Linked DNA regions of Anolis sagrei. The protein of the gene in region 2 purifies or fractionates together with the protein of the main gene of each other region. This does not show direct contact. Links are inferred from orthologs where the notes say so. Each region holds a gene or a part of one and is shown on either strand. Other genes may lie near its edges.

Region 1 (10,895 bases), on a different chromosome or scaffold from region 2:
TAACAGATGCTGACTAAAGTTCCGAGTTCAAATTTCTATGTTCAGTATTAACATGACCTATTTGGCCCTTCGGATATCTATAATTCAGCCAAGTTATAGTGGACTAAAATTTTAAAAGAAACCACTTTCCATGCCTGGCTTAAATTCTGTGCTAACAGAAAATTTGCTGGAATTTCCGTTGTGTCACACATATCCTGTGGGACTTTCCCCGTGAAATCTATTTTTCATTAAGAATGTATCACAAGGCAGAAAATATAATCCTAGCTTGTTAGGCTACTTTTTTAGTCTGTTACCTTACACATGGATTTCATTAGTATAGTAAATAATGTAAAGGTCTCCTTGCACAAAGACCTCCGGCGGATACAAACATCCATGACTGCTCAAATCTTGTTATATACAACGGCATAGCAAAACGGTGTCCTGGATATAAAATAGCAAAATCAAAGTTTGCTTTTCACTTAAAAAAAAAACATGTTCAAGCTATGGATGAATGAATTCCTCAGATACAGAATCTGTGGCTATGGAGGTCCAATTGTATAACTGTTCAGGTTCAGATGTATCTTTGGAAGTGAATGAGATAGAAAGTCATATCTAACAGAACTAAAATAATGGTTTCAGATTGGATGGGCCTCTGTGTGTGTGCCTTCAAGTCACCTGTTGGACTTATAGTACCCCATGAGATTAATGGGGGCTTTCTTAACACTCAGAAGTGTTTCTTGCCTAAAACAATGCAACCATATTAAACTTAAGTAAATATTTTACCATATTTTGTAGCTTGTATATTTTCCTATTTTAATTGTATACTGAGAATAGGAATGAACTGAATGATTGTGCCTACACACTTTCCAGTCCCTGGGTCTTACTGAAAGACATATAGCCACTAATACTGGGGGTAATGTAGAGCCATGTAAGGCATTACCAACACCTTAAATAGCTTTCTAAGATCTACAGAGATACTCACATGAACACCTCAGCGAGCAAGAGACCAAAAGTGGCAGGTTAAAACCCGGAGCCTCAAACCATGGCTGATACTGGATGAGAACCTCCCTTCTGGGAGTCTCTCTTTTCTTCTTTCTTGTGGGGTTTTCTTCTACTTTTTCTAAAGTCTTTTATTGTGGGAGACCCTTTTTGTGGCACCGGGGCCCCTTCAACATCTATATAAATAAAAATGTAATGTTGGTTTGTGGGATTAACATAACTCAAAAACCACTGGACAAATTGACACCAAATTTGGGCACAATACACCTATCAGGCCAGCAAGTGACCATCACTCATAAAAACACTGAAAAACACAGCAGAAGAGAATTAAAAAGCCAGAGGAGGCTGAAGGTCTTGCAAATCTATTATTATTATTATTATTATTATTATTATTATTATTATTTTATACCCTGCCTTTTCCTTCCAAAAAGAGACGCAAATTTATTGTTGTTATGTTTATTTATACCACATTTTTTCTCTCCACAACAGACTCAATTTATTATTATTATTATTGTTTATTTATACCTCGCTTTTTCTCTCCACAAAGAGACTCAAATAAGTATTTCAATACAGTTTTTCAATACAGTATTTCAATACAGTTAAAATCTACAAATATACAGACATTAAAGCAGAATTAAATATCACTGGTATTTAAAAAAAATCAGTTAAAATCCACAAGGACCTCTTCAAAGAGAATGGAACAACTTAAATCCAGTTTCTGCCTCCTGCAGAATTCTGAGGTTGTACATTAGGGAGGGGCCTTTAAGCAACTCAGCCAGACAGGTCTTGGGCCTCCCTAAACTACAAATCCCAGAATTCTGCAGGAAGCAGAAACCGGATTAAAGTGGATCCATACTCTAGTGCAGGGGTCCTCAAACAGAGGGCCAGGTCACAGCCCCTCAAACTGTTGGAGGGCCGGATTATAATTTGAAAAAAACATGAATTAATTCCTATGCACACTGCACATATCTTTTTTGTAGTGCAAAAAACACTTAAAAACAATACAATAATTAAAATGAAGAACAATTTCAACAAATATAAAATTATTAGTATTTCAATGAGAAGTGTGGGCCTACTTTTGGCTGATGAGATAGGATTTTTGTTGTTGTTCTGTGCTTTCAAGTAGTTTCAGACTTAGGTTGACCTTGAGCGAGGGCCGGGTAAATGACCTTGGAGGGCCGCATCCGGGCCCCGGGCCTTAGTTTGAGGACCCCTGCTCTAGTGTGATGAGGCTGTTAACTAATCTACAACTCCTATGAGTCCATAGCATGGGGTGCAACTAGAATCTCTGCATTTTGACACCCCTTTAACTTCCATGGATCAATGCTATGGGATTGTGGGGGTTGTAGTTTAGTGAGGCCAAAGCACTCTTGGGAAGAGACGTCTGAAGACCTTGTAAATCTTCAACTCCTATGAGTTTATAACATGGGGCGCACTTAGAATCCCTGCAGTTTAACCACCATGGCTCAATGCTTTGGCATGATAGGAGTTGTAGTTTAGTGAGGCCCCAGCCCTCTTGAGCAGAGAACTTTGAAGACCTTGCAAATCGACAACACCTATGAGTTTATAGCATGGGGTGCATCTAGAATCCCTGCAGTTTAACTGGCATGGGTCGATGTTATGGGATTGTGGGAGTTGTAGTTTGGTGAGGCCCCAGTACTCTTGGACAGAGAAGTCCTTGCAAATCTACAACTCTTATGAGAGTGCACTTAAATCTCTGAAGTTTAACTGGCATGGCTCAATGTAATGGAATTGTGGGAGCTGTAATTTGGTGTGGCCCCAGCACTCTTGGACAGAGAAGTCCTTGCAAATCTACAACTCCTATGAGGGGGCATCTAGAATCACTGCAGCTTAACTGGCATGGTTCAATGCTTTGGAATGATGGGAGTTGTACTTTGGTGAGGCCCCAGCACTCCTGAGCAGAGAACTCCTTGCAAATCTACAACTCCTATGATGGTGCACTTAGAATCTTTGCCGTTTAACTGGCATGGCTCAATGCTATGGGATTGTAGGAGATGCAGTTTGGTGAGGCCCCAGCACTCTTGAGCTGAGAACTCTGAAGACCTTGCAAATCTACAACTCCTATGAAGGTGCACTTAGAATCCCTGCAGTTTAATTGGCATGGCTCAATGCTATTATTCTTTATTATTTACGACATTTTTATCCCATCCTTCTCAAGCCCAAAGGCAACTCAAAGCGGTTTAGAGATTGGCAGCCATTCGATGCCATAACAGTCCACAATACACAGTTAAAACATTTGAAATATTATAAAACAATATAAAAACCAACTTACCTGTCTGGACGCATCTCCCCTTATGAACCCTCCAGGATTTTAAGATCGTCTGGGGAGGCCCTGCTCTCGATCCCGCCTTCGTCACAAGTATGCCTGGCGGGGATGAGAGACAGAGCCTTCTCAGTGGTGGCTCCTTGGCTATGGAACGCCCTCCCTAGGGGTATTAGATAGCCCCCCTCCCTCTTAACACTCTGAAAGAAGGTCAAGATTTGGCTTTTTGAGCAAGCGTTTGCAGATACAATATAACAGACGTGGAGAAAAAAATGGAACGACTCAATGACGGTATTGGATAATGCTTTTAACTAGGAGACTCAAATCGATATATGTTTTTATTGATATTGTTTTATTTGTTTTTATATTTAAATTGTATTTTACGCTTTTGATGCTGATGGTAAACCGCCCTAAGTCGCCTGTGGGCTGAGAAGGGCGGTATATAAATGTAGTAAATAAATAAATACATACATAAATAAAACCATCTCTCTCTACTCGTGCATAGCACAAACATGAACAAAAATGTAATAGTATCCAAAAGTCCCAGGCTCAACCATCCAAAGGATTTGGACCCTTTAAGAGCTTCCTGGTCTCTGTGGCAGAAACAGTCCAGAAGGTAAGAGCGTCTTACTTGGGATTGTGGGAGTTGTAGTTTGGTGAGGCCCCAGCACTCTTGAGCAGAGAAGTCGTTGCAAATCTACAACTCCAATGGGAGTGCACTTAAATCCCTGCAGCTTAACTGGCATAGCTCAATGCTATGGGATTGTGGGAGTCGTAGTTTGGTGAGGCCCCAGGGGTTTTGAGCTGAGAACTCTGAAGACCTTGCAAATCTACAACTCCTATGATAGTGCACTTAGAAAGAATCTCTACAGTTTAACTGGCATGGCTCAATACTATGGGATTGTGGGAGCTGTAGTTTGGTGAGGCCCTAGCACTCTTGGGCAGTCTGAAGACCTTGCAAATCTATAACTCCTATGAGTTTATAGCAAGGGGTGCATCTAGAATCCCTGCAGTTTAACTGGTATGGTTCAATGCTTTGGAATGGTGGGAGTTGTAGTTTGGTAAGGTCCCAGCACTCTTGAGCAGAAAAGTCCTTGCAAATCTACAGCTCTTATGAGAGTGCACTTAAAACCCTACAGTTTAACTGCCATGGCTCAATGCTATTATTATTATTATTTATTATTTACGGTATTTTTATCCCGCCCTTCTCAAACCCAAAGGCAACTCAAGCTGGTTAACAGATTGGCAGCCAGTCCACAATATACAGTTCAAACATTTAAAACATTATAAAACAATGTAAAAACCATTAAAACTATCTCTCTCCGCACGTGCATAGCTCAAGTCTGAACAAAAATGTAATAGTATCCAAAAGTCCCAGGCTCAGCCATTCAATGGATTTGAACCCTTTAAGAGCTTCATGGTCTCAGTGGCAGAAACAGTCCAGAAGTTAAGAGCTTTTTACTTGGGATTGTGGGAGTTGTAGTTTGGTGAGGCCCCAGGACTCTTAAACTGAGAACTCTGAAGACCTTGCCAATCTACAACTCCTAGGATAATGCACTTTGAAAGAATCACTCCAGTTTAACCGGCATGGCTCATTGCTATGGGATTGTGGGAGTTGTAGTTTGGTGAGGCGGCCCAGCACTCTTGGGTAGAGAAGTCTGAAGACTTCATGAGTCCATAGCATGGGTGAATGTAGAATCCCTGCAGTTTAACTGGCATGGCTCAGTGCTTTGGAATGGTGGGAGTTGTAGTTTGGTGAGGCCCCAGGACTCTTAAACTGAAAACTCTGAAGACCTTGCAAATCTACAACTCCTAGGATAATGCACTTTGAAAGAATCCCTCCAGTTTAACTGGCATGACTCAGTGCTCTGGGATTGTAGGAGTTGTAGTTTGGGGAGGTGGCCCAGCACTCTTGGAAAGAGAAGTCTGAAGACTTCATGAGTCCATAGCATGGGTGAATGTAGAACCCCCGCAGTTTAACTGGCATGGCTCAGTGCTTTGGAATGGTGGGAGTTGTAGTTTGGTGAGGCCCCAGGACTCTTAAACTGAGAACTCTGAAGACCTCGCAAATCTACGACTCCTAGGATAACGCACTTTGAACGAATCCCTCCAGTTTAACTGGCATGGCTCAATGCTATGGGATTGTGGGAGTTGTAGTTTGGTGAGGCAGCCAGAGTAGTCTGAAGAGCGTGTAAAACTACGACTCCCATGATCCCATGGCATTGCTCCATGGCAGTGCAAGTGGGGGGTCAAAACTGCCAAGTAGAGAGTTGCAAATATTGCATTCCAGGCTCAACTTTTCCCAAAGTTTTCTCTCTCTCTGGGCCTTTCCCTCCCCTGCCGCTTCTCATCCCGCAGCGGCGCAGAAAGGGTTAACGCTCAGGAATGCGCCTGCGGGCCAAGGAGGAATGCGTATGCAGATGAGATGGATGCTAATCTCATGCAAATGAGCCCCCGCTGCTGCCGCCGCCGCGCGCCGCTGCCGCCGCGCGCCGCTCGGGGCTGAGCCGGGTTCCTCCAGCGCCTTGGCCCGTTCCCTCCTCCCCTGCCTTCCGCCTGGGCCTGGCACCGGGAGCTCGCCTTTGCCGGGACCCCCAAAGGGAAAAGGAGGCGGACCAAGGCGGAGAAGGGGAGGGGGGTCCCGATCTCAGCCATGGCGGGCTGAAAGGCGCAAAGGGGAGAGTTTCCTGCCCGGCCGCAGGCGAGGAAAAGAGTCCTTGCAGTAGCAAAGCAACAGCAGCAGCGCCTTCTTTCTTCTTGGCTTTCCCGCCCCGATGGAGCCAGGGCTGCCCCCCGGCCATGCCTAGGGACGCCGGGGACGGGCAGCTGCCCTTGCCCGACGGCTGGGAGGAGGCCCGCGACTACGACGGAAAGGTCTTCTTCATCGACCACAACACCAAGCAGACCAGCTGGATCGACCCCCGGGACAGGTGGGTGCGCGAGAGTGGCAGGAGGAAAAGTGGCCAAGGAAAGCACCTCTCCCTCCCTCCAAGCAGAAGTGGTTTGGCCATCTGTCGGGAGTGTTTTGGTTGTGTCTTGAGTGCAACTCTTATATATGAGTCAATCACGCTATTCCATTTTGAGTTGCAGGAGGAAAAGTTGCAAAGAAAAGCCCCCCCCCCCTCAAAAGTGGAGTCTCTCCAAGCAGAAGTGGGTTGGCCATCTGTCGGGAGTGTTTTGGTTGTGTTTTGAGTGCAATTCTTAGGAAAAATTGCAAAGGAAAGCCCCCCTCTCCCTCAGAATTTGAGTCTCTCCAAGCAGAAGTGGGTTGGCCATCTGTCGGGAGTGTTTTGGTTGTGTTTTGAGTGCAACTCTTATATATGAGTCAACCATGCTATTCCATTTTGAGTTGCAGGAGGAAAAGTTGCAAAGGAAAGCCCCCTCTCCCACAAAATTGGACTCTCTCCAAGCAGAAGTGGTTTGGCCATCTGTCGGGAGTGTTTTGGTTGTGTCTTGAGTGCAACTGTTATATATGAGTCAACAATGCTATTCCAATTTGAGTTGCAGGAGGAAAAGTTGCAAAGGAAAGCCCCCCCTCAAAAGTGGAGTCTCTCCAAGCAGAAGTGGTTTGGCCATCTGAAGGGAGTGTTTTGGTTGTGTTTTGAGTGCAACTCTTATATATGAGTAAAACCATGCTATTCCATTTTGAGTTGCAGGAGGAAAAGTTGCAAAGGAAAGGCCCCTCTTCCCCAGAATTGGAGTCTCTTCAAGCAGAAGTGGTTTGGCCATCTGTCAGAAGTGCTTTGGTTGTGTTTGGAGTGCAACTCTTATATATGAGTCAATCATGGTATTCCATTTTGAGTTGCAGGAGGAAAAGTTGCAAAGGAAAGCCCCCCCCCCCTCAAAAGCGGAGTCTTTCCAAGCAGAAGTGGTTTGGCCATCTGTTGGGAGTGTTTTGGTTGTGTTTGGAGTGCAACTCTTATATATGAGTCAATCATGGTATCCCATTTTGAGTTGCAGGAGGAAAAGTTGCAAAGGAAAGCCCCCCCCCCCCCCGAGAATTTAAATCTCTCCAAGCAGAAGTGGTTTGGCCATCTGTTGGGAGTGTTTTGGTTGCGTTTTGAGTGCATGTCAGCGCTGGCTGGGCCCTTGCCGCCCCTTCCAACTCTCAACCATGCTATGATTCCATTTTGCACTTCTGCAAAACTTATTATTATTATTATCATCATTATTATCATTATTATTATTTAGATAATGGCTCTCCTTGCACCCCATGACAAGCTTTCTAACGCCACACCTGTATTAAAATCCACATTGAACTGGATTATATGGCAGTGTGAACTCAGGGCCCTTCCACACAGCCCTCTGTCCCAGAATATCAAAGTAGAAAATCCCACAATATCTGCTTTGAACTGGTTTATCTGAGTCCACACTCCTATAATGTGCGATTTTCTGCCTTGATATTCTGGGATATAGGACAGGCCCTAGGTAAAGGTAAAAGTTTTACCCTGACATTAAGTCTAGTCGGTAACCAGCACCAAAAGACATGATACACGAGCCTGTATCTAAATAATATTAATAATAATAATAATCTGCTTTTTCTCTCCACAAGGGAGACTCAAAGCGGATTCCATTAAAAGTATTTCAATACAAAACAATACAATTTTCCCAGGCATTCTTCTCTTAAAATAACTACAGGCAATCCCCAAGTTACGAACAAAATAGGTTCTGTAGGTTTGTTCTTAAGTTAAATTTGTTTGTAAGTTGGAACAGGTACATTTTTAAGTGTAACTCCAGCCACATATATAATTATATTAGCTTTGGATAGTATAAAAGGTAAAGGTTTTCTCCTGACATTAAGTCTAGTCGTGTCCAACTCTGGGGGTTGGTGCTCATCTCCATTTCTAAGCCGAAGAGCCGGCGTTGTCCGTAGACACCTCCAAGGGCATGTGACCGGCATGACTGCATGGAGCGCCGTTACCTTCCCTCCAAAGTGGTACCTATTGATCTACTCACATTTGCATATTTTCAAACTGCTAGGTTGGCAGAAGCTTGGGCTGACAGCGGAAGCTCACACCGCTCCCCGGAATCGAACCTGCAACCTTTCGGTCAACAAGCTCAGCAGCTCAGCGGTTTAACCCACCGGGTGGGTTAGGTTGACCCTCAGCAAGGGCCGGGTAAATTATCTTGGAGGGCCGTATCCGGCCCCCAGGCCTTAGTTTGAGGACCCCTGATGATCTGGCTGCGTGGACTCATATAATCCAGTTTCAAAGCAGAAAACCTGGGATCAGATCCTGAGATGTGAATAAAATCTGAATAAAATCCCACATTATCTGCTTTAAACTGGAATATATGGCAGTGTGGACTCAGATAACTCAGTTCAAAGCAGATAGTGGGATTTGCTGCCTTGATATTCTGGGTTATATGGCTGTGTGGAAGGACCTTGTGTTAAAGGATCCTCAAGTTCCTTCCACACAGCTGAAAAAAACGATAGATTATCTGCAATATATAGGAATGATACAACAAAAGATATTATTCTGGCATGCCTCTCACAGAACATGATGAAAACCAAAAGATGTCTTTTCCTAGTAGTGTGATTTTCCTAGTAGTGTAACATAAACAATAACAAAGTTTAACCAACAACGAATACCAAAAAGGAGAAGAAGATAAGTTTGCTTCCACTTTTACAAAAATGTCTCGATACAATCTTACATTGACTGACAGTAACCACTACAGTTGTACTAAAGCTCCTTCCACACAGCTGTATAAAATCCACATTGAACTGGATTATATGGCAGTGTAGACTTGGATAACCCAGTTCAAAGCAGATATTGTGGGGTTATTATTATTATTTTCTGCTTTAATATTCTAGTGCCCTTCCACACAGCTGTATAATGTCCTCATTGAACTGGATTGTATGGCAATGTGGACTCGGATAACCCAGTTCAAAGCAGATATGGTGGATTACCTGCCTAGATATTCTGGATTATATGGCTGTGTGGAAGGGCCCTTAGAAACTGGATTATCTGGCAGTGTAGATCCAGCCTTTGAAGGTCTGCTTTCCTAGAGCCCAGGCATGCTAGTGTTTCTGTTATCACCAGGGCTGGATCTACACTCTATGAACTGCATTATATGTCAGTGTAGAGTTCCCATGCAATGCAGTTCACACTGCGGGTCCTTCCACACAGCCCTATATCCCAGAATATCAAGGCAGGAAATCCCACATTAACTGAGTGTGGACTCAGATATCCCAGGGCCCTTCGGCACAGCCCTATATCCCAGAATATCAAGGCAGGAAATCCCACATTAACTGAGTGTGGACTCAGATATCCCAGGGCCCTTCCACACAGCCCTATATCCCAGAATATCAAGGCAGGAAATCCCACATTAACTGAGTGTGGACTCAGATATCCCAGGGCCCTTCCGCACAGCCCTATATCCCAGAATATCAAGGCAGAAAATCCCACAACTTTTTAAATATGCAAAAAATGTGAAAAAATCGAGCTTTAAAACTCGAAGGAGCCTCCAAAGACTTTGCATCAGGCTTGTGTTTCTCTCTTTCAAAACAGCTGGAGATCCATAAGCACTAGGGATTCTGCTTTTAAAAAAGCGATAATTTCTGCTCAAATCGTATTTTCATTTCCTAGTCCAGAACTTTTTTTTTTGGAACCGTCTTTCTCAGGAAGAAGCTGGACTCGGCAAAGATAAATACACAAGCAGTTTGCTGAAGTCTGTTTTTGGAACTGCAGGTCTGGCATGCAGTCGGCATGAATTTTTTCTTTCTCCTGAAACTTTGGATTATGGAAACAAACAGACTACTGTACATTGCCTTGTTCGAGGCCCCTGATCTTTTCGCTTTTTCTCCATCCCACATCTATCTATCTATCTATCTATCTATCTATCTATCTATCTATCTATCTATCCAAGGTGGAGTTGTTTAGGTTTGTTAGGAAGGTGAAGGAAGTGGTCTCAGGCCTCATGTTTGAGCTTTTGGAAGTAGGCCTCAACTGAGTTCTTTCATCTCTTCCTCTAGATCAGGGGTCCTCAAACTAAGGCCCAGGGGCCGGATACGGTCCTCCAAGATTTACCCGGCCCTGGCTCAGGGTCAACCTAAGTCTGAAAAGACTTGAAAGCACACAGCAACAACAACAACAATCCTACCTCATCAGCCCAAAGCAGGCCCACACTTCCCATTGAAATACTAATAAGTTTGTATTAACAATTTGTTAAAATTGTTCTTCATTTTAATTATTGTATTGTTTTGAAGTGTTTTTGCACTACAAATACAATGAATGCAGTGTGCATAAGAATTCATTCATGGTTTTTTCAAATTATAATCCAGCCCTCCAACAGTTTGAGTGACTGTGACCTGGCCCTCTGTTTAAAAAGTTTGAGGACCCCTGCTCTAGATTGTAGATGCTCCCCTATTTTTCCTAATCCTCTGAGACAAATTAAAAATAAATAGCTGGAAAACGGTAGAACGGTTTGTTGTGGAAGGCTTTCATGGCGGAACCACTGGGTTTCTGTTAGTTTGCTAGGCTGTATGGCCATGTTTCAGAAGCATTCTCTCCTGACATTTCACCCACATTTATGGCAGGTATCCACAGAGGTTGTGAGGTGTTTTAGAAACTGGGCAAGTGGGGTTTATATATCTGTGGAATGTCCACGGTGGAAGAAAGAACTATTGTCTGCT
Region 2 (11,381 bases):
AGCTGGGCATGTTTAGCCTGGAGAAGGCTGAGAGGAGATATGATAGCCATGTATAAATATGAGAGGAAGTCACAGGGAGGAGGGAGCAAGCTTATTTTCTGCTTCCCTGGAGACTAGGACACGGAACAATGGATTCAAACTACAAAAAAAGGAGATTCTATCTGAACATCAGGAAGAACTTTCTGACTGCGAGAGCCGTTCAGCAGTGGAACTCTCTGCCCCGGAGTGTGGTGGAGGGTCCTTCTTTGGAAGCTTTTAAACAGAGGCTGGATGGCCATCTGTCAGGGGTGCTTTGAATGCAATATTTCTGCTTCTTGGCAGGGGGTTGGACTAGATGGCCCATGAGGTCTCCTCCAACTCTATGATTCATAAGATGTTGATTGTTCCTGAAACACTCAGTTGTGGTTACTGTAGCAGCACTTTCAAGTGTTCCAAACTATGCTTACTAATTGCAACATTCACATTTCCTTAAACAGACAAGGGTTCTTTCTCCCACCCTGGACATTCCACGGGTATATATACTCCACTTACCTCACTGTCAACAGAACCTCTGAAGATACCTGCCACAGATGCAAGTGAAACGTTGGGAGAGAATGCTACTGGAACATGGCCATACAGCCTGAAAACTTCTATGGTATGGGATCATTAGAATAACTTTAGTGAGGTTATTTTGAAAACCTTCCCCCTCAAATGTTTAATGTTTCCAAAAGTAAATGTCCTGGATGAATTTCTGTGGACCAGATTGAATATGAAGGCACCTATGTGGCAACTGTTCTCTTTAGCAGAATTCAGTGGGCAACTTGTCCACTGAGTGGGATCTCCAGGTGTTTTTGAATTATAACTATCATCCTAATAGCTAATAGCAGTGGACAATTCAGACAGATTTTGGAAGGACATTTTTATGTATTGTATGATGTTGATTGTTCTTGAAATGAATGTGAGTTGCTGTATACAGTATTTACATTTTATGTTTTTCTTTATGTTTGGGATTTCCAAATTTATAGTGGAATACCTTAGTCTACTACTCTGCACCAGCTTTCAGTGCAAATACAGTGGGCCCTGATAACCACTGGGGGTTGATTAACAGCCCTGCCATGGATACCAAAATCTGTGGATGCCCAAGACCCATAATATACAGTGGCACAGTAAATGGCATCTCTAATATAAAATGGCAAAATAAAAGGTTGCTTTCTAGAATTTTCTTTGGAGTTGGGGGGGGGGGTATTGGATGCAGACTATATGGTCAAAAGTTTACACTACTGACATTTTAAACACTGTGCCAGTCATAGAGTATTGGCATAGGATGTATGTGCGCATAAGTAATAAAAGCATGGCCACGGTGGACCATGCTCTTGTTACATCAATGATAGATTACTGCTACACGCTCTCCATGGGGTTGCATTTGAAGACTGTTCAGAAGCTTCAAGGGATCCAACAGGCGGCAGCTGGACTCCTCACTGGGGCAGCGCACAGGGAGCGTACAAGATCCCTGTTACGTCTGCTCCACTGACTGCCAGTCTGCTACCGAGCACAATTCAAAGTGCTGACGTTAGCCTATAAAGCCCTTAATGGTTCCAGCCCAGCTTACCTGTCTGAATGTATCTCCCTCTATGATACACCTCAGAGATTAATATCTTCTCGGGAGGTCCTGCTCTCAGTCCCATCTTCTTTGCATGTGGGGCTGGTGGGAATGAGGGGCAGGGCCTTATCAGTGGTGGCCCCTTGGCTATGGAACTTCCTCCCTAGTGAAATTAGAGCAGCCCCCTTCAGGAAGAAAGTAAAAATGTGGTTATGTGACCAGGCTTTTGGAGAGCAAGTTTTTAGTGCAACAAGAGAATAAGGAATAGTGAAATGACAAATGGAACAGCTTCAGATTTTGGATGGTGTGATTTTAATAAGTGGTTTTAAATTGTTAATGCTTTGGTTTTAATGTAAATGTTTATTTTGTTGTGTGTGTGTGTGTCTGTATGTATGTGTGTGTGTGTGTGTGTGTGTATGTATGTATATATATATATATATATATATATATATATATATATATATGCATCAAATTGCTGCCTAATTTGTAAGGCCGCTCTGAGTCTCTTTTGGTTTTGAGAAGGGTGTAATATAAATGAAATAATAATAATAATAATAATAATAATAATAATAATAATAATGGTGATGAGTATAGGCCTGTAGAAACAGTAGTGACTAAAACATGGCTGATGAGTTTATGGTCATTCAGTTGTTCACTCTAGTTCCCATCAGCCTGATCTATCCAGCCTGGTAGTGAGCCTAATAGTTTGTCAGCATCTGGAACGTCCAAGGTTCCCTACTCCTGGCCCAAAGTTGCCCTAAATTACTCTTTTACTCTTTGGGATGAGTTTAGCAAGAAGTTGCTTGAAAGGAAAGCCCTACAATTTGTAATTCTATCATCTTACATTCAGTACTGTAATGCTTTAATAGGATTTGCTTCTGCGTAATTATGCCTACCTTAAAGTTGTAATCTTCAACTTTATTCTTATCGTCGAAGGCTTTCATGGCCTGAATCACTGGGTTGCTGTAGGGTTTTTTGTCTGTATGGCCATATTTTAGAGGCATTCTCTCCTGATGTTTCGCCTGCATCTGTGACAGGCATCCTCAGATGTTGTGAGGACCTCACAACTTCTGAGGATGCCTGCCACAGATGCAGGTGAAACGTCAGGATGGAATGCTTCTAGAACATGGCCACACAGCCTGAAAAACCTACAACAACTCAGTGATTCTTATAATTCACATTTCCAAAGAATTTTTGTAAGTTATGGCTACAGTTCTAACTACCATTTACCCTGAAAATTCCATTAACCTCAATAGACTGACTTCTAAGTAGATCTTACAGCACTGCACTGCATATCTCTTGAGTCGTAAATTTAGTCCTGCTGTGCATACACATGTAAATGCAAGTGTGGGGATGCTAAAGTGTCAAATATATTTTGAACACGTGGCATCCTATGTTACAATAGCATTTTCCAAGTTTATCTTTCACAACAAATACCATTGTGTTTGGCTTTTAAGTGAGCAGAGTACAGGTTCCTGTAAAACAAATAAATATAGCGCACAACTGGCAAAACAGAACCTTCAACAATGAGTATGTGTGGGCAACTCACTATCAGAGATGTGTGCTGAGAGCCTATCCCTGTTTTAATCTATGAAAATGTTGGCAAACATGCAGTGATTGTTCCACACTACCGTCATCCTGCATTATCCAATTTCCACAGACTAGGATACAGACTAGGGCCAGGGAATGACTTTGTTGCAGGGCTCTACTGATTTTGTGAAATCAATTTTTCCATCTTTCTCTCTTTTCAGGAAGATTTCCTGTGCAGTGCTGGCACAGTAGAGGGGGAAAAACATTTTCCTAGCAACAAAATACTGTTGTTCAGAGTGTTGGAAATGAGTTGGCTCCTTGCATTAGAACAGTGTTTCTCAACCTTCCTAATGCCGTACCCCTTAATATAGTTCTTCATGTTGTGGTGAACCCCAACCATAAAATTATTTTGGTTGCTACTTCATAATTGCAACTTTACTATTCATATGAATCGTAATGTAAATATGTGTTATGCAGGATGTACTTTCATTCACTGGACCAAATTTGGCACAAATACCCCATACGCCCACATTTGAATACTGGTGGGGTTGGGGGGATTGATTTTGTCATTAGGGAGTTGTAATTGCTGGGATTTATAGTTCACCTACAATCAAAGAGCATTCTGAACTCCACCAATGATGGAAATGAACCAAACTTGGCATACAGAACTCCCATGACCAACAGAAAATACTGGAAGGGTTTGGTGGGCTTGATCTTGGGTTTCAGAGTTGTAGTTCAGCTACATCCAAAGAGCACTGTGGACACAAACAATGATGGATCTGGACTAAGCTTGGCACAAATACTCAATATGCTCAAATATGAAGTTTGGGGAAAATAGACCTTGACATTTGGAAGCTGTAGTTGCTGAGATTTATAGTTCACCTACAATCAAAGAGCATTCTGAACTCCACCAACAATACAATTGGGTCAAACTTCCCACACAGAATCCCCATGACCAACAGAAAATATTGGAGGGATTTGGGAGAAATTGATAGTGATATAGGGGAGAGCATGCCTTATTTAAACAACCAACTATTAAAAATGTAAGGGTCTTTGACAAGGATGGTCAACTATATGGCTGGAATTTGTGTTTTTGTCTCTAGACCCCTGCAAAACTACTAAAAAAGAAAATGTGTATCCATTTATTATTTACTGACATTAAACAAAATGGGATGTGTGTGCCTGTAACATTTTAAAATGTTGTTGCTTCTCCTGGGACACATAATGGAGCAGAGAGAAAAAGGGTGGTTTGGGGAGTCTGGAGGACTCACTGCAAAGGAGGTAAGGACTATACTTCATAGACCAGGGACACTAGAGGAGAGTTTTCAAGGGAAGACTCTTGTTAGTGTGTTGTAACATAAGACTAATATGAGGAAATGATCTAGCAACACTTTGGAGAGTGATATTCCATCATAAACTTTCATGAATTCCAGATTGCTAATCATCTGCATCTGCTGGGCCCATATACAGGTGTATAGTTACCAGGAGATGAAGGCAAAATAGGAGTTCTGCCCTTTATGATTTTCCTTCATTGTGTGCATTTCTAGCATTGCAGAAAATGACACTAAAATGCACTCACAACTAGGACTCTAGAATTTGCTGTCTGCATTCCCTTGACAACTTTGCCTATATGGTCCTTGTATATGTTCGGGTTTAAAATCCAAGGATGCTCCTAGTCCCATTATATGTAATGGCATAGTAAAATTGTACCCCTTATATAAAATGCTCAAATAAAGTGGGTTGTATGACCATGTTCCAGATGTATTCTCTCCTGATGTTTCACTCACATCTACGACAGGCATCCTCAGAGATTGTGAGGTCTGTGGAAACTAGGCAAATGGGGTTTATATATCCATGGAATGTCCATGGTAGGAGAAAGAACTCTTGTCTGTTTAAGGCAATTGTGAATATGTATTGTTGAAGGCTTTCATGGCCAGAATCACTGGGTTGTTGTAGGTTTTTTTGGGCTATATGGCCATGTTCTGGAGGCATTCTCTCCTGATGTTTCACCTGCATCTATGGCAAGCATCTTCAGAGGTAGTGAGGTGATCCTCACTACCTCTGAGGATGCTTGCCATAGATGCATGTGAAATGTCAAAAGAGAATGCCTCTAGAACATGGCCATATAGCCCGAAAAAAACCTACAACAACCCAGTAATTGTGAATGTTGCAATTGGCCACCTTGATTAGCATTGAATAGGCTTGCAGCTTCAAAGCCTTGCTGCTTCCTGCCTGGGGGAATGCTTTGTTGGGAAGTGTTAGCTGATGCTGATTGTTTCCTGTCTGGAATTCCCCTGTATTCTGAGTGTCGAAACATGGCCATACAGTCCAAAAAACTCTCAGCAACCCAGTGATTCCAGCCATGAAAGCCTTCTATAACATGCTAAAATAAAGGTTTGCTTTCTGGAATTCTGGGAATGAAAAGTTTTCAAGCTGTAAATTGTTGAATCCATGGATACAGAAGGCCCATAATATCTTATTTTGGATGCCTAAACTATTTCTATATGCTTAATTTTGAAATTACTACATTGCTAGAATTTATGAGACTGGAGGAGTATTTCATAAGGGAGGGAGAATTATTATATGGAAGGTAATGTTTGCACTTGAACCTCTACATCCTTGCTCAACATCTAATAAAATAAATGGAAGTCCATGAAAACTTATGATGAAAGCTGAGTTTCAGAAATGCCACTCTGATCTGGATGGTCCTAAATGTATTCAAGCTCAATTGCTACAATGAAATGTGTTGTCAAAGACTTTCATGGCTGGAATCACTGGGTTGCTTTGAGTTTTTTGGCCTGTATAGCCATGTTCCAGAAACATTCTCTCCTTACGTTTCACCCACATCTATGGCAGGCATCTTCATACATTGCGAGGACTGTTGGAAACTAAGCAAGTGAGGTTTATATATCTGTGGAATGTCTAGGGTGGGAGAAACAACTTTTAAAACTCGGTTTTACTTCTACGTAAGTAAGGCAGGGCAACAAAACTTGATAAATCTCTCTAACCCAGTGTTTCTCAACCTGGGGGTTGGGACCCCTGGGGGGGTTGTGAGGGGGCGTCAGAGGTGTTGCCAAAGACCATCAGAAAACATAATATTTTCTGTTGGTCATAGGGGTTTCGTGTGGGAAGTTTGGCCCAATTCTCTCCTTGGTGGAGAGAATTGGGCCAAACTCTCCTTGGTGGGATTCAGAATGCTCTTTGGTTGTAGATATACTATAAATCCCAGCAACTACAACTCCAAAATATCAAGTTGATTTCAGTCAAACTCCACCAGTGTTCACATTTGGGCATATTGAATATTAGTGCCAAGTTTGGTTCAGATCCATCATTATTTGAGTCCACAGTGTGCTCTGGATGTAGGTGAACTACAACTCCCAAACTCAAGGTCAATGTCCAGTATCCTCTGTTGGGCATGGGAGTTGTGTGTGCCAAATTTGGTTCAATTCCACCTTTGATGGAGTTCAGAATGCTCTTTGATTGTAGGTGAACTATAAATCCCAGCAACTACAACTCCCAAAAGACAAAATCAACCCCCCCCCCCCGCCCAAACCCTACCAGAATTCAAATTTGGGTGTATTGGGTATTTGTGCAAAATTTGGTCCAGTGAATGAAAATGCATTCTGCATATCAGATATTTACATTACGATTCCAAACAGTAGCAAAATGACAGTTATGAAGTAGCAAGGAAAATAATTTTATGGTTGGGGTTCACAACATGAGGAACTGTATTAAGGGGTCGCGGCATTAAGAAGGTTGAGAACCAAAGGGGCTAAAGTTGGAGAAAGGAGAAGAGAAAGTTGGTGAAAGAGGAGAGCTGGGGCAAAGAAATCGTGCAAGCAAGCCAGCCAGCCACTCCAGGCCTTTGCGCAAAAGGCTGGTCGGAAAGATTTCCCCCGGCTGGCTCTCCGCCCCTTCCTCCAAATGGGTTTCCCCGCCCTTCACGGAGGGCGGGAAACCCCCTTCCTATGGGGCGCCTTCCTCCATCTTCCTCTCCAACTGAAATCCCCAAAAACACAAACCAACCCAGAAGTAGCTCCTCCTTCCCTGATACCTCCGGGCTCTCCCTCTCCTCTGCGCGCAGTCAAGGGGAACCTCCCCAAAGCCTCTATTCCTTGCCCCCCAACCCTTTCCCCGGCTTGGTCCTCCCTTCCCTACTGAGAACTGCCTCGCTAGTCCCTCCTCTCCGTGTAAAACGGAGTCACTCCGGCGCGCCTCCTCGTCTTCTTCCAACTTCTCTCCAAGCTGTGCGTCAGGCTCGCCACTAGAGTTGCGCTCCAGCAAGTACAGAAAGAAAGAAAGAGGGAAAGGAGCTCTCGGGCATTTGGATTCCTAGTTGGTCCCGAGTTCCTTCCCTCCTCCTCCCCTTCTTCCCCTTGGCATTTGGGGGAGGCTTGGCCCGCCTTGGAACAGAGTCAAACTCCGAAAGGCATCCTGGATTTGGGCTCCTTTTGGAGCGCCCCTTCTTTGAGTCGCCTGTGCGTAAAAATACGGAGAGAGAAAGCAAGCAAGCAAGCAAGAGAGAAGTGCTCCCTCCAGGCAAGTCCCCGCCGCCTCCTGCCCTGCAGTGGCTGCTCCGCATTCTTGGCATTCCTGGGCTGTGACTCCGAGGTCGGCGACGGCAAGGAGGCAGGCGGGAGGGCTCTTGCTTCTCCAAGCAGCAGCTCCACGCAGGACCGGGGCCGAGGAAGAGCCACGCGGGAGGGAGGGAGGGAGGGAGGGAGGGAGGACCCACACGCTCTGGACGCCTGCCTTTCTCCATCTAGGCACCAATCCCCTCCTCTCTGCTTGGCTCTCTCCTCCCTCCAGGCTCCCGAACTTCTTCCCTCCTCCAGCACCCTCCCTTCCTGAAGCTCAAACTTCCTACAAACTTTCCTTTGGAGAGCCTTGCGTGTTGCTTCTTCGGGAGGGGGAAAAGAAAGAAAGAAGAGCCCCCCTTTTTTGCTGCTGACTCCTTAGCACCCCAATATCACTCAGTCCTCTTCATTCCCCACCATCCTCCTTTTCTCCCCTTCCTCTTTCTCCCCTTTCCTTCCTAATTTTGGCAAATTCTGTCGGCTCCAACTTGCCCTGTCCCCTTGTTTGGATTCCTTGGCTAAAGCGGAAGCCTCCTTCATCCATCACCGGTGAATCTTGCGGATTTAAAAAAAAGAAATCAAGGCCTAGAGGAAGGAAAGGAGGAGATCTTTGAGAACTATACCTTGAGGAGACGCAGCTGCCTCGAAGGGGTCCCAAACTCATGTGAAAGCAGGTAAGCCTGAGATGCAACAGTTGGGATGCTTGAGTGAGTTGGCTTGGACTTTTTGAGTTTGGAGTTGGTGTAAGCATTAGTAAGGCTCCTCTCTGGTCAGTAAACTTCGTACAACTTCGCTCTGCAGTGTGAGTGTTTTGAGGTTGTTATTGTTTTGCTTTTGATTTAAAAAAAAATGCAAAACCTATAATACAGGAAGAATGCACACAAACCCAGAGCCCTCTGAACTCAGTACTGTTATCGTTCTGTTCTGTATGGTATTGTTTTATGATATGTTTTATTGTGATATGTTTTATTTGATTTTGTTTTGATGCTATCTTATTGTGTTATGTTTTTAACTTTGTACTCCCTGGGCTTGTCCCTTTATAAGCTGCCCCAAGTCCCTTGGGGAGATGGAGGTGGGATATAAAAATAAAGTTGTTGTTGTTGTTATTATTATTATTATTAGTTTAGGTACAGTTTGGGAGTTTCTGGGTTTGAAGTTGATATAAGCCAAGACTAGAGCATGAATCCACTTTAAATCTGGTTTCTGCCTTCAGCAGAATTCTGGGGTTTGCAGTTTAGTTGAAGGTTCCCCCCTAAACTATAATCCCCAGAATTCTGCAGGAGGCAGCAACCGGATTTAAATTGAATTCATTCTCTAGTTTGATGAGTTCTTCAGTAATCTTGGCAGAACTTCTCTGTGAGGTGTGTGGTTTTGGGGTTATTTTGATTTGCATTTTTAAAAAATACAGGAACAGGGCCAGCTATTTATTTATTTACAGTATTTATATACCACTTTTTTTACCCCTGGGGGGACACAAAGTGGTTTCCATAGAAATAGTGACAAAATTCAATGCCTTACCCTAAATCACAATCAACACCATATAACTGAGCATAAAATCAATAAGACAATTCATCATAAGATATAAGGACATTTAAAACATGAAATATAATACTTAAAACGCCTAATAAAAACATAATGCAAGTATGTAGACCATACTCATCATCCCAACAAAGGAATCCCCCAGACAGGAAGCAGCCAAGCCTTGAAGCTGCAAGGCTTTTCAATGCTAATCAAGGTGATCGATTGCAGCATTCACACCTACCTCCAACAGACAAGAGTTCTTTCTCCCACCCTGGGCATTCCACAGATATATAAACCTCACTCGTTCTAATTCCAACAGACCTCACAATCTCTGAGGATGCCTGCCATAGATGTGGGTGAAACGTCAGGAGAGAATTCTTCTGGTACATGGCCATACAGCCCAGAAAACTCACAGCAACCAGTGATTCCTGGCTATGAAAGCCTTCGACAACACATAGTTCGTGTGCAGTTGGGCAGTTTTTGAGTCTCTTTGTGTAAACAAGGTTCTCTGGTCAGTAAACTTGGCACAACACCCCCGGAGGTGTGTGTGTGTTTTGGGATTTTTGTTTTTGCAATTTGAAAAGCACAGGAACAGTTTATGTCCAGTTTGGAAGTTTCTGACTCAGGCGTTGGTGTAAGTAAGGCTCTTTGGTCAATTATCTTGGCACAGCTCTGTTCTGAGGTTTGTGTTTTTGGACTAACTTGCTTTTGCATTTTTGAAAAAAATACAAAACGTATAATGCAGGAACAGTTAATGGGCGGTTTTGGAGACTTATGCCCATCCCTCACTGCCTGAAAATTGTATTTCAGATCTGCTCAGTTAAATGGAAAGGTTGAGCATGCAAAAGGAGTTCTGAAAATAAGTGACCCTTTGAAAGCATTAGCCTCACATGACTTTCCCTTTTTCAACTTGTCCTGTTGCAATGGCATGGGGTGCCTTGAAAAACTTTACTAAACTTTGTGTGTCCAGCTTCTCAGTGTTGTGGTGTGATTTCTCTTTGGGTCCATGTTTCAGCCAGCTCAAATGAACAAAATCTGGCTACTAGTATTTTTAAAAACTCTAAAATCAGGGCAGTAAATAAAGAGCAACACTTAAAAAGCAGGGAAATTCCAGACAAGAATCTATGAGGGCCAGCTAACACCTCCCAACAAAGGATTCCCCCAGGCAGCAGCCAGCCAGGCTTTGAAGCTATAAATGGTAACCAAGGTGGACAATTAAAACATTCACACTTCTCTCAAGCAGACAAGAGTTCTTTCTCCCACCCTGGACATTCCACTGATATATATACTTCACTTGCCTAGTTTCCAACAGACCTCACACCTCTGAGGATGCCTGCCATAGATGTGGGCGAAACGTCAGGAGAGAATGCTTCTGGAACATGGCCATGGAACTCACAACAACCCAACTCCCACTCTTTTGGCTGGGTGGATTTTATCTTCCTGCTCTTTGTTAGCTACTAGTCAAGTCTATACCGGCCATTCCTCTCTGGCAGATGTTGTGACAAGAAGGAAGGAATGTGGTGGCAGTTTCTCCTGCTCCCTGCCTGACAAAATCTATTAATCTTTTTTTTAAGTTTGCAAAAGAAGCTGCCTTTTAAGGAATGAGTCATTTGTTTGCCTACAGTGCACACAACATAGATGTGTATTTAAAGAGGGTAAAGGGGATGAGGTTTGCTGGTTTTGAACTTCTGTGGGCAAAGGGCCCTGATGATTATAAGTCTCTTTCTTTGTATTCTCTCCAGCTATGTATCTCTAATGAGGGGTGTTGCAAGGAATGAAAGGATGGTATCAAATATGAACTCTTATGCTGAAAATCCCATCCCTTCCTCCTTTATGATGACTTGTGAAATGCACACAAGAAAGGTTTGTGCAATGTGTGAGTGTATTCAGTTCTTGTGGGTTTTTTCGGGCTATATGGCCATGTTCTAGAGGCATTTCTCCTGACGTTTCACCTGCATCTATGGCAAGCTGCATCTATGGTCAGCATTTCTCCTGACGTTTCGCCTGCATCTATGGTGAGTGTATTTTTTTTTTTAAGTAAACCCTAAGTGTGTTATGATAGACCTTTTTTTGGGCATTACAGTTTTGAAAACTTCTCTAAGGTAATGTTCTTGGACTCAGAAGGGATCAAAGACACTAAAAAAGAGCACTGCTTTTTTAGAACAAAGGTCTGT

What was found.
Region 1: the proteins of PTPN14 (region 2) and WWC2 purify together in Homo sapiens (affinity purification with mass spectrometry, with the first as the bait; 3 studies listed by BioGRID). This does not show direct contact. The link is inferred for Anolis sagrei from reciprocal best matches to the Homo sapiens genes PTPN14 and WWC2.

The regions. Positions count from the first base shown.
Region 1 is NC_090025.1:65,606,536-65,617,430, forward strand, and holds the start of WWC2 (protein WWC2), read left to right. Parts: upstream 1-5,723; 5' UTR 5,724-6,061; coding exon 6,062-6,192; intron 6,193-10,895. UniProt on the Homo sapiens protein: Regulator of the Hippo signaling pathway, also known as the Salvador-Warts-Hippo (SWH) pathway.
Region 2 is NC_090021.1:33,746,632-33,758,012, reverse strand, and holds the start of PTPN14 (tyrosine-protein phosphatase non-receptor type 14), read left to right. Parts: upstream 1-7,110; 5' UTR 7,111-8,360; intron 8,361-11,381. UniProt on the Homo sapiens protein: Protein tyrosine phosphatase which may play a role in the regulation of lymphangiogenesis, cell-cell adhesion, cell-matrix adhesion, cell migration, cell growth and also regulates TGF-beta gene expression, thereby modulating epithelial-mesenchymal transition.